Macaca fascicularis: one gene and its partner. Each later gene encodes a partner of the first gene's protein in a complex. Links are inferred from orthologs where the notes say so. Each region holds a gene or a part of one and is shown in the gene's direction. Other genes may lie near its edges.

The links.
Region 2: the proteins of ALB (region 1) and FCGRT are in contact, whole or in part, in a crystal structure (PDB 6QIO), measured with the Homo sapiens proteins. The link is inferred for Macaca fascicularis from reciprocal best matches to the Homo sapiens genes ALB and FCGRT. Residues at the interface, in NP_000468.1 of Homo sapiens: Arg105, Glu106, Thr107, Tyr108, Gly109, Glu110, Asp113, Asn133, Asn135, Gln441, Ser443, Pro445, Thr446, Glu449, Leu484, Leu487, His488, Thr491, Pro492, Val493, Tyr521, Val522, Pro523, Lys524, Thr530, Phe531, Thr532, Phe533, His534, Asp536; in NP_001129491.1 of Homo sapiens: Arg65, Glu67, Glu69, Gly72, Ala73, Val75, Trp76, Gln79, Val80, Ser81, Trp82, Trp84, Glu85, Lys86, Thr89, Arg92, Asn172, Lys173, Leu175, Thr176, Leu179, Phe180, His184, Glu188, Arg192, Gly195, Asn196, Trp199, Lys200, Glu201.

Annotation. Positions count from the first base shown.
Region 1 is NC_088379.1:60,560,834-60,564,638, reverse strand, and holds part of ALB (albumin), read left to right. Parts: intron 1-596; coding exon 597-729; intron 730-1,821; coding exon 1,822-1,919; intron 1,920-3,119; coding exon 3,120-3,258; intron 3,259-3,805. UniProt on the Homo sapiens protein: Binds water, Ca(2+), Na(+), K(+), fatty acids, hormones, bilirubin and drugs. Its main function is the regulation of the colloidal osmotic pressure of blood. Major zinc transporter in plasma, typically binds about 80% of all plasma zinc.
Region 2 is NC_088393.1:57,472,379-57,476,650, forward strand, and holds the start of FCGRT (IgG receptor FcRn large subunit p51), read left to right. Parts: upstream 1-1,299; 5' UTR 1,300-1,361; exon of another isoform or gene 1,362-1,389; intron 1,390-2,344; 5' UTR 2,345-2,358; coding exon 2,359-2,431; intron 2,432-4,052; coding exon 4,053-4,272. UniProt on the Homo sapiens protein: Cell surface receptor that transfers passive humoral immunity from the mother to the newborn. Binds to the Fc region of monomeric immunoglobulin gamma and mediates its selective uptake from milk.

The DNA of each region.
Region 1 (3,805 bases):
GGACAGATAACATTTTTTTTTTTGAGACAGAGTTTTCCTCTTGTTGCCCAGGCTGGAGTGCAATGGCACCATCTTGGCTCACCACAACCTCTACCTCCCAGGTTCAAATGATTCTGCTGCCTCAGCCTCCCGAGTAGCTAGGATTACAGGCACGCACCACCATGCCTGGCTAATTTTGTATTTTTAATAGAGACAGGGTTTCATCATGCTGGTCAGGCTGGTCTAAAACTCCTGACATCAGGTGATTTGCCTGCCTCTGCCTCCTGAAGTGCTGAGACTACAAGTATGAACCACAGCGCCCAGCCGACAAATACTATTGTTATCTTGTTATCTCCATTCTACCGAGAAGGAGACGAAGGCTGTGATCATTTAAATAAGTTGCCTAAGGTGATGCAGTAATATAAGTGGCAGAGCTAGGAATTGAGCCTTGGTAACTTTAACTCTGGACCCCAAGTCCTTAGCTACTAAGCTTTACTGCATGGGGTTTAGTCAAATTAAGACTTTTGGAATATGAGTTACTTTTGAGGTTAGCTTTGTGATTTTTTTTTTGGTGCTCATTTGTCCAACAAAGTCTATTTTATTTTCATCTTAATTAGGTTTTTGTATGAATATGCAAGAAGGCATCCTGATTACTCTGTCATGCTGCTGCTGAGACTTGCCAAGGCATACGAAGCCACTCTAGAGAAGTGCTGTGCCGCTGCAGATCCTCATGAATGCTATGCCAAAGTGGTAGGTTTATTGTTGGAAAAAAATGTTATTCTTTGACTGATGATTCCAATAATGAGAAAGAAAAATAATGCAAGAATGTAAAAAGATATACAGTGCAATTTAGATCTTTTCTTGAGATGGTTTCAATTCTGCAATCTTAAACATGATAGAAAAAGTAGCCTTAGAATGATTAACAAAATTTAGACTAGTCTAGAATAGAAAGATCTGAGTAGAGCAATCTCTGTGAAATTTTGATCTTTTTTTCTCTTTTTCACAATCCTGAGAACAAAATAACTTAAAGTAAATTTAACTGTTAATTAGAAGATACTTAACTTAGATGTAAAGTGAGTTAACCTGATCCCAGGACTAATCAAGTACTAGAATTAGTATCTTCAGGCAAATTATAGAACCTGTTCCTTTAGAAGATTTTCAAATCTTTTTGAGAATGTTTAGGAGTAGTTCTACAGGAAATTAAGTTAGGAGAGGAAATCTGTTCTGGAGGACTTTTAGGGTTCCCACTAGCATATGTAATGGTTTCCAAACTATTCAGAATCAGATAAAACTCATTTTTTCCTCTGTCAAGAAGCTACTAGATGCCAGGCACCATGCACGACCAATGACCAAGGTAAAATCTCTCATTTTGGAGAGCCCAGAATCTAACTAGAAAGGTGAACTAATAATAATAATATGTATAATCATAGCCATAACTTATTAAACTTTTATTACACGCAAGGCACTGTTTAATTTCATTAGCTTAACTGGTTTACAGAGCAGCTCTATGAGATGAGTACCATCTTTGCCCTTTTTTAGGGATAAGGATTCTGAAATGTGGAGATGGTAAGTAAAATTGCACAATTGAAGAATGAGTTAGATGACTTGGCTCAAATACTGGTCATTGAACTTCAGAGCCTGAATATTCTTAGCCACTTACATGATGCAAGCTCACCAAATAAATCGTTTGAATGTAATGTGACAGCGTGGCATTGATAGTCATCTGTTTGTGTGGCTTTGAGTAGAAAGGAGAAAGGATATCATTCTGACCAGAGGGGTGAAAAACAACCTGCATCTGATCCTCAGGCATAATACTATCAACACAATTCTTCTATGTTTCAGTTTGATGAATTTCAACCTCTTGTGGAAGAGCCTCAGAATTTAGTCAAACAAAATTGTGAACTTTTTGAGCAGCTTGGAGAATACAAATTCCAGAATGCGTAAGTAATTTTTATTGATTGATTTTTGATCAATTCGTAATTATTTAAGACTTAATATATGAGCCACCTAGCATAAAACTTGTAAGAATGAGAATACATTACATATTTCTAATCACTCTTTGTCAAGAAAGATAGGAGAGGAGAGATAAAATAGTTGATGGGGTGGAGAGGCCTATATTTGAATGTAGTCTAAAAATTGTTCTCTTAAGACTGGAAGTATGTAGACTGGGAGGGTAAATACGAAATCTTGGTATATCGAACTGAGGATGTCCCTTGAAGGTTAAGAAATAGTTAATGGGCAAATAGAACATGGCAATATTTTGTAGAGCAGGAAGTAGTAGAGCAGGAAGTAGTAGGCCTTGAATAGCAGTCGCTCAAAAAGTAATATGTGAGCTGAACACAAAATGTAACAAATGAATTTAGATTCATGTTTGAATATTAAATTCAGGTTGTTTGGGGGATGCACCTAGTGTCTGATGGTTAAACCTTGTGTTTCTGTGGAATTTCCCTCCATGGAAGAGACAGAGACAGAATGGCTTGTGGACTAATGTCCCAATTCAATAGAACTTTATCTATGAAGGTTAAAAACAAGAAGAGATATGTTATACAGTAGATATTTATTGTGTGGCTCATACACATAGTGCTCTTCTGATTATTGGTTTTAGGGATAATAACCGTGAACAAGACATAGTTTCTTTCCTCAAGTAGATTACATAGATTGACTTTTAATGGTGACTGGCATTCTTAATACATGATTATTATATATTAGGTACCATGTCAGATTAATTATAATACTTTACTACTTTTAATTTAACCCTTGAACTATCCCTATTGAGTCAGATATATTTCCTTCCATTTTCTACTTGTATCTTTCAAGTTTAGCACATGCTGATATATATGAAGCTCTCTCCAGGTTTTATTGAAAGAAGAAATTAATAAATTTATTAATGTCACTGAAGTAGGTAACTCACTTTCCTAAGATTATACAAGTAGTACAGGTGGAACTCAAAGCCAGGTTTGACTAGTTGTTCAGGAGAAAGTTTTCTCCCCTCCACTAACCCACTACTCTGCAGATGGAGATAATATGATGAATGGAATATAGGAACATCTTAGTTGATTCCGGCCAAGTGTTCTCTGTTTTATCTACTATGCTAGACAGTTTCTTGCCTTGCTGAAAACACATGGACTTCTTTTTTTCAGGCTATTAGTTCGTTACACCAAGAAAGTACCCCAAGTGTCAACTCCAACTCTTGTAGAGGTCTCAAGAAACCTAGGAAAAGTGGGTGCCAAATGTTGTAAACTTCCTGAAGCAAAAAGAATGCCCTGTGCAGAAGACTATGTGAGTCTTTAAAAAATATAATAAATTAATAATGAAAAAATTTTACCTTTAGATATTGATAATGCTAGCTTTCATAAGCAGAAGGGAGTAATGTGTGTGTGCATATTTGTGTGCGTGTGTGCATGTATGCATGTGTATTTGTGATATTGGCAGCCAGGGTCCCAAAGATTATATATATATATTTTTAATATTATATATATTTCATATATTTATTATATATAAATATATATTATATATTTATTATATATAATATATATTATATATTTATTATATATAATATATATTATATATTTATTATATATAATATATATTATATATTAATTATATATTACCAATACATTATATATTTATATATTAATTAGTTATTAATAATATATAATATTGCATACTATATTATTTTAAATATAATTAATATTATATATTAATATATTATTAATATTATATATTAAGTATATAATTAATTATATATTAATATGTTAATGCAATGCAGTATTATATAAACTAATTAATAATATGTATTAATAATATATTAATAATATACAATATA
Region 2 (4,272 bases), on another chromosome or scaffold:
AATAGCCAGACAACTTTGGCACCACCACCCGGCCCTAGGAGTTAAAAAAAAAAAAGTAATAATAATAACATCAACCCCTGGCCTAAACTACTTGTGTTATCTGTAAATCCTAGACACTGTATGAAAAAAAAAAAAGCACTGTAAAACTTTTTGTTCTGTTAGCTGATGCACGTAGCCCCCAGTCACGTTTCCCACACTTGCTCGATTTATCACGACCCTTTCACGTGGACCCCTTAAAGTAGTAAGCCTTTAAAAAGGCCAAGTATTTCTTTTTCGGGGAGCTTGGCTCTTAAGACGCGAGTCTGCTGACGCTCCCAGCTGTATAAAAAACCTCTTCCTTCTTTAATCCGGTGTCTGAGGAGTTTTGTCTGTGGCTCTTCCTGCTACACAACCTCCACCTCCTGGGTTCAAGCAATTCTCCTGATTCAGCCTCCAGAGCAGCTGGGACTACAGGTGCTCCACCACACCCAGTTAATTTTTTTTTTTTTTTTGAGAGGGAGTCTCGCTCCCAGGCTGGAGTGCGGTGGTGGCACGATCTCCGCTCACTGCAAGCTCCACCGCCTGAGTTCACCCCATTCTTCTGCTTCAGCCTCCTGAGTAGCTGGGACTACAGGCGCCCGCCACCACGACGGGCTAATTTTTTGTATTTTTAGTAGAGATGGGGTTTCACGGTGTTAGCCAGGATGGTGTCGATCATCCTGACCTCGTGATCCGCCCGCCTTGGCCTCCCAAAGTGCTGGGATTACAGGCGTTAGCCACCGCGCTCGGTCTAATATTTGTATTATTAGTAGAGACGGGGGTGTCACCGTGTTAGCCAGTCTGGTCTTGAACTCCTGACCTCGTGATCCGCCTGCCTCTGCCTCCCAGCGTCCTGGGATTACAGGCGTGACTCACTGCGCCCGGCCAGCAGAAGGATATTAAAGAGCACCTGCAGGACCTTTCTAACGGGATGTCGGGGGAAGGGCTTGAAGGAGGAACTAGGGAGGCTTCCATAAGATTTTGATTAACAGCCAGCGCTAGGGAAGGTCACAGGGATACAAAAGGGTAGGAGGAGGATCCAGAGACCTCCAAGTTGTGGACTTCGAAGGCATCCGGTTCCTTTCCCAGCTTTGTCAAGAATTCCCTGGGCGGCGGACACCCTCAAAATAAAAAAAACGGGAACCACAGAGAAGGGGAAAAAGAAGAACCACAAGCGTTTTGAGAAACAAACAGAGGCTGGGCCTAGGGCCTGGGGTGTGCCCTGCAACTGGGGGGGGTGGGGCTGGATGTTCTTGGAGTCAGGGAGCAGCAGCCTCCCACAGGATGTGAGAGAGGAACTGGGGTCTCCAGTCACGGGAGCCAGGAGCCGGCCAGGGCCGCAGGCAGGAAGGGAGCGAGGCTGAAGGGAACGTGAGCCGACCAGGCCCCGATTGAGGGAGGAGGGAAGGGCCTGGACCCCTGGGCCTGAGGGAGGAGGGGCTGGGGGTCTGGACAGTGCGTCTGAGGGAGGAGGGGCTGGGGGTGTCGACACTGGTTCTGAGGGAGGAGGGGCTGGGGGCCTGGACGCCTGGGACGGAGGGAGGAGGCACTGGGGGTCTGGACACTGGGTCCGAGGGAGGAGGGGTTGGGGGCCCGGACTCCTCGGTCGGAGGGTGGAGGGGCTGGTGGCCCGGACTCCTCGGTCGGAGGGTGGAGGGGCTGGTGGCCCGGACTCCTCGGTCGGAGGGTGGAGGGGCTGGTGGCCCGGACTCCTCGGTCGGAGGGTGGAGGGGCTGGTGGCCCGGACTCCTGGGTCCGAGGGAGGAGGGGTTGGGGGCCCGGACTCCTCGGTCGGAGGGTGGAGGGGTTGGGGGCCCGGACTCCTCGGTCCGAGGGAGGAGGGGTTGGGGGCCCGGACTCCTGGGTCCGAGGGAGGAGGAGTTGGGGGCCCGGACTCCTCGGTCGGAGGGAGGAGGAGTTGGGGGCCCGGACTCCTCGGTCGGAGGGTGGAGGGGTTGGGGGCCCGGACTCCTCGGTCGGAGGGTGGAGGGGTTGGGGGCCCGGACTCCTCGGTCGGAGGGTGGAGGGGTTGGGGGCCCGGACTCCTGGGTCCGAGGGAGGAGGGGCTGGGGCCTGAGGGACGGAAGGGGCGTGGCCGAGCTCGGGGCCGGGACTCTCAGCCTATCAAGTTTCTGTAATTAATTAACTAACTGAGATCCAGTTCAGGGGTGAAAGTTCTTCAGGTAGGAGGAGGGCATTGTTGTCAGTCTGGACCGAGCCCGCAGAGCCCCTCCTCGGCGTCCTGGTCCCGGCCCTGCCCTTGGTACCCCGGGAGGAAGGGGCGGGCCGGGGGTCGGGAGGAGTCACGTGCCCCCTCCCGCCCCAGGTCGTCCTCTCAGCATGAGGGTCCCGCGGCCTCAGCCCTGGGCGCTGGGGCTCCTGCTCTTTCTCCTGCCCGGGAGCCTGGGCGCAGGTGAGGGCCGCTGCGGGCCGGGGCCCTGCTGCAGGCGGGCGGTGGGAGGCGGCCCCAGGCAGGCAGGGGCGAAGCCAGCGGGACCCGAGTTCCCCGCGAGTCCCGGGCGCTGCCTTCTCCGCTCAGTTCACTTTCTCAGCGTCTCCTGCTGGGCCTGAGGCTGAGAACCACCTGTCGCTTCTGTGTCTCTGTTTCCCTCTCTCTCTCTGGGCCTCTGTCTGGGTCTCTGTCCCTTTCTCTCTCTCCCTCTCTGGGTCTCTGTTTCTCTCCCTGGGTCTCTGTCCCTGTCTTTCTGTCTCTCTGGGTCTCTGGGTCTCTGTCTCTGGGTCTCTGTCCCTCTCTCTCTCTCTGGGTCTCTGTCCTTCTCTCTCTCTCTCTCTGGGTCTCTCTCTCTCTCTCTCTCTCTCTCTGGGTCTCTCTCTCTCTCTCTCTGGGTCTCTGTCTCTCTCTCTCTGGGTCTCTGTCTCTCTCTCTGGGTCTCTGTCTCTCTCTCTGGGTCTCTGTCTCTCTCTCTGGGTCTCTGTCTCCCTCTCTCTCTGGGTCTCTGTCTCTCTCTCTCTGGGTCTCTGTCTCTCTCTCTCTGGGTCTCTGTCTCTCTCTCTGGGTCTCTGTCTCTCTCTCTGGGTCTCTGTCTCCCTCTCTCTCTGGGTCTCTGTCTCCCTCTCTCTCTGGGTCTCTGTCTCCCTCTCTCTCTGGGTCTCTGTCTCTCTCTCTCTGGGTCTCTGTCTCTCTCTCTCTGGGTCTCTGTCTCTCTCTCTGGGTCTCTGTCTCCCTCTCTCTCTGGGTCTCTGTCCCTCTCTCTGGGTCTCTGTCCCTCTCTCTCTGGGTCTCTGTCTCTCTCTCTCTCTGGGTCTCTGTCTCCCTCTCTCTGGGTCTCTGTCTCCCTCTCTCTCTGGGTCTCTGTCCCTCTCTCTCTGGGTCTCTGTCTCCCTCTCTCTCTGGGTCTCTGTCTCTCTCTCTCTGGGTCTCTGTCTCTCTCTCTCTGGGTCTCTGTCTCTCTCTCTGGGTCTCTGTCTCCCTCTCTCTCTGGGTCTCTGTCTCCCTCTCTCTCTGGGTCTCTGTCTCTCTCTCTCTGGGTCTCTGTCTCTCTCTCTCTGGGTCTCTGTCTCTCTCTCTGGGTCTCTGTCTCTCTCTCTCTGGGTCTCTGTCTCTCTCTCTGGGTCTCTGTCTCTCTCTCTCTCTGGGTCTCTGTCTCTCTCTCTGGGTCTCTGTCTCCCTCTCTCTCTGGGTCTCTGTCTCCCTCTCTCTCTGGGTCTCTGTCTCCCTCTCTCTCTGGGTCTCTGTCTCTCTCTCTCTGGGTCTCTGTCTCTCTCTCTCTGGGTCTCTGTCTCTCTCTCTGGGTCTCTGTCTCTCTCTCTCTGGGTCTCTGTCTCTCTCTCTCTGGGTCTCTGTCTCTCTCTCTCTGGGTCTCTGTCTCTCTCTCTGGGTCTCTGTCTCTCTCTCTGGGTCTCTGTCTCTCTCTCTGGGTCTCTGTCTCCCTCTCTCTCTGGGTCTCTGTCCCTTTTTCTCTCTGGGTCTCTGTCCCCTCCCTCTGAATCTTCCCTCTCCATAATAGATTCTTCTCCCTCCCTGGATATCTGTCCCACTGCAATCTAGTTCCCCGCCCATGTTCTCCCTTCAGCTCTGTCTCTGTCTGCAGAAAGCCACCTCTCCCTCCTGTACCACCTCACCGCGGTGTCCTCGCCTGCCCCGGGGACGCCTGCCTTCTGGGTGTCCGGCTGGCTGGGCCCGCAGCAGTACCTGAGCTACGACAGCCTGAGGGGCCAGGCGGAGCCCTGTGGAGCTTGGGTCTGGGAAAACCAAGTGTCCTGGTATTGGGAGAAAGAGACCACAGATCTGAG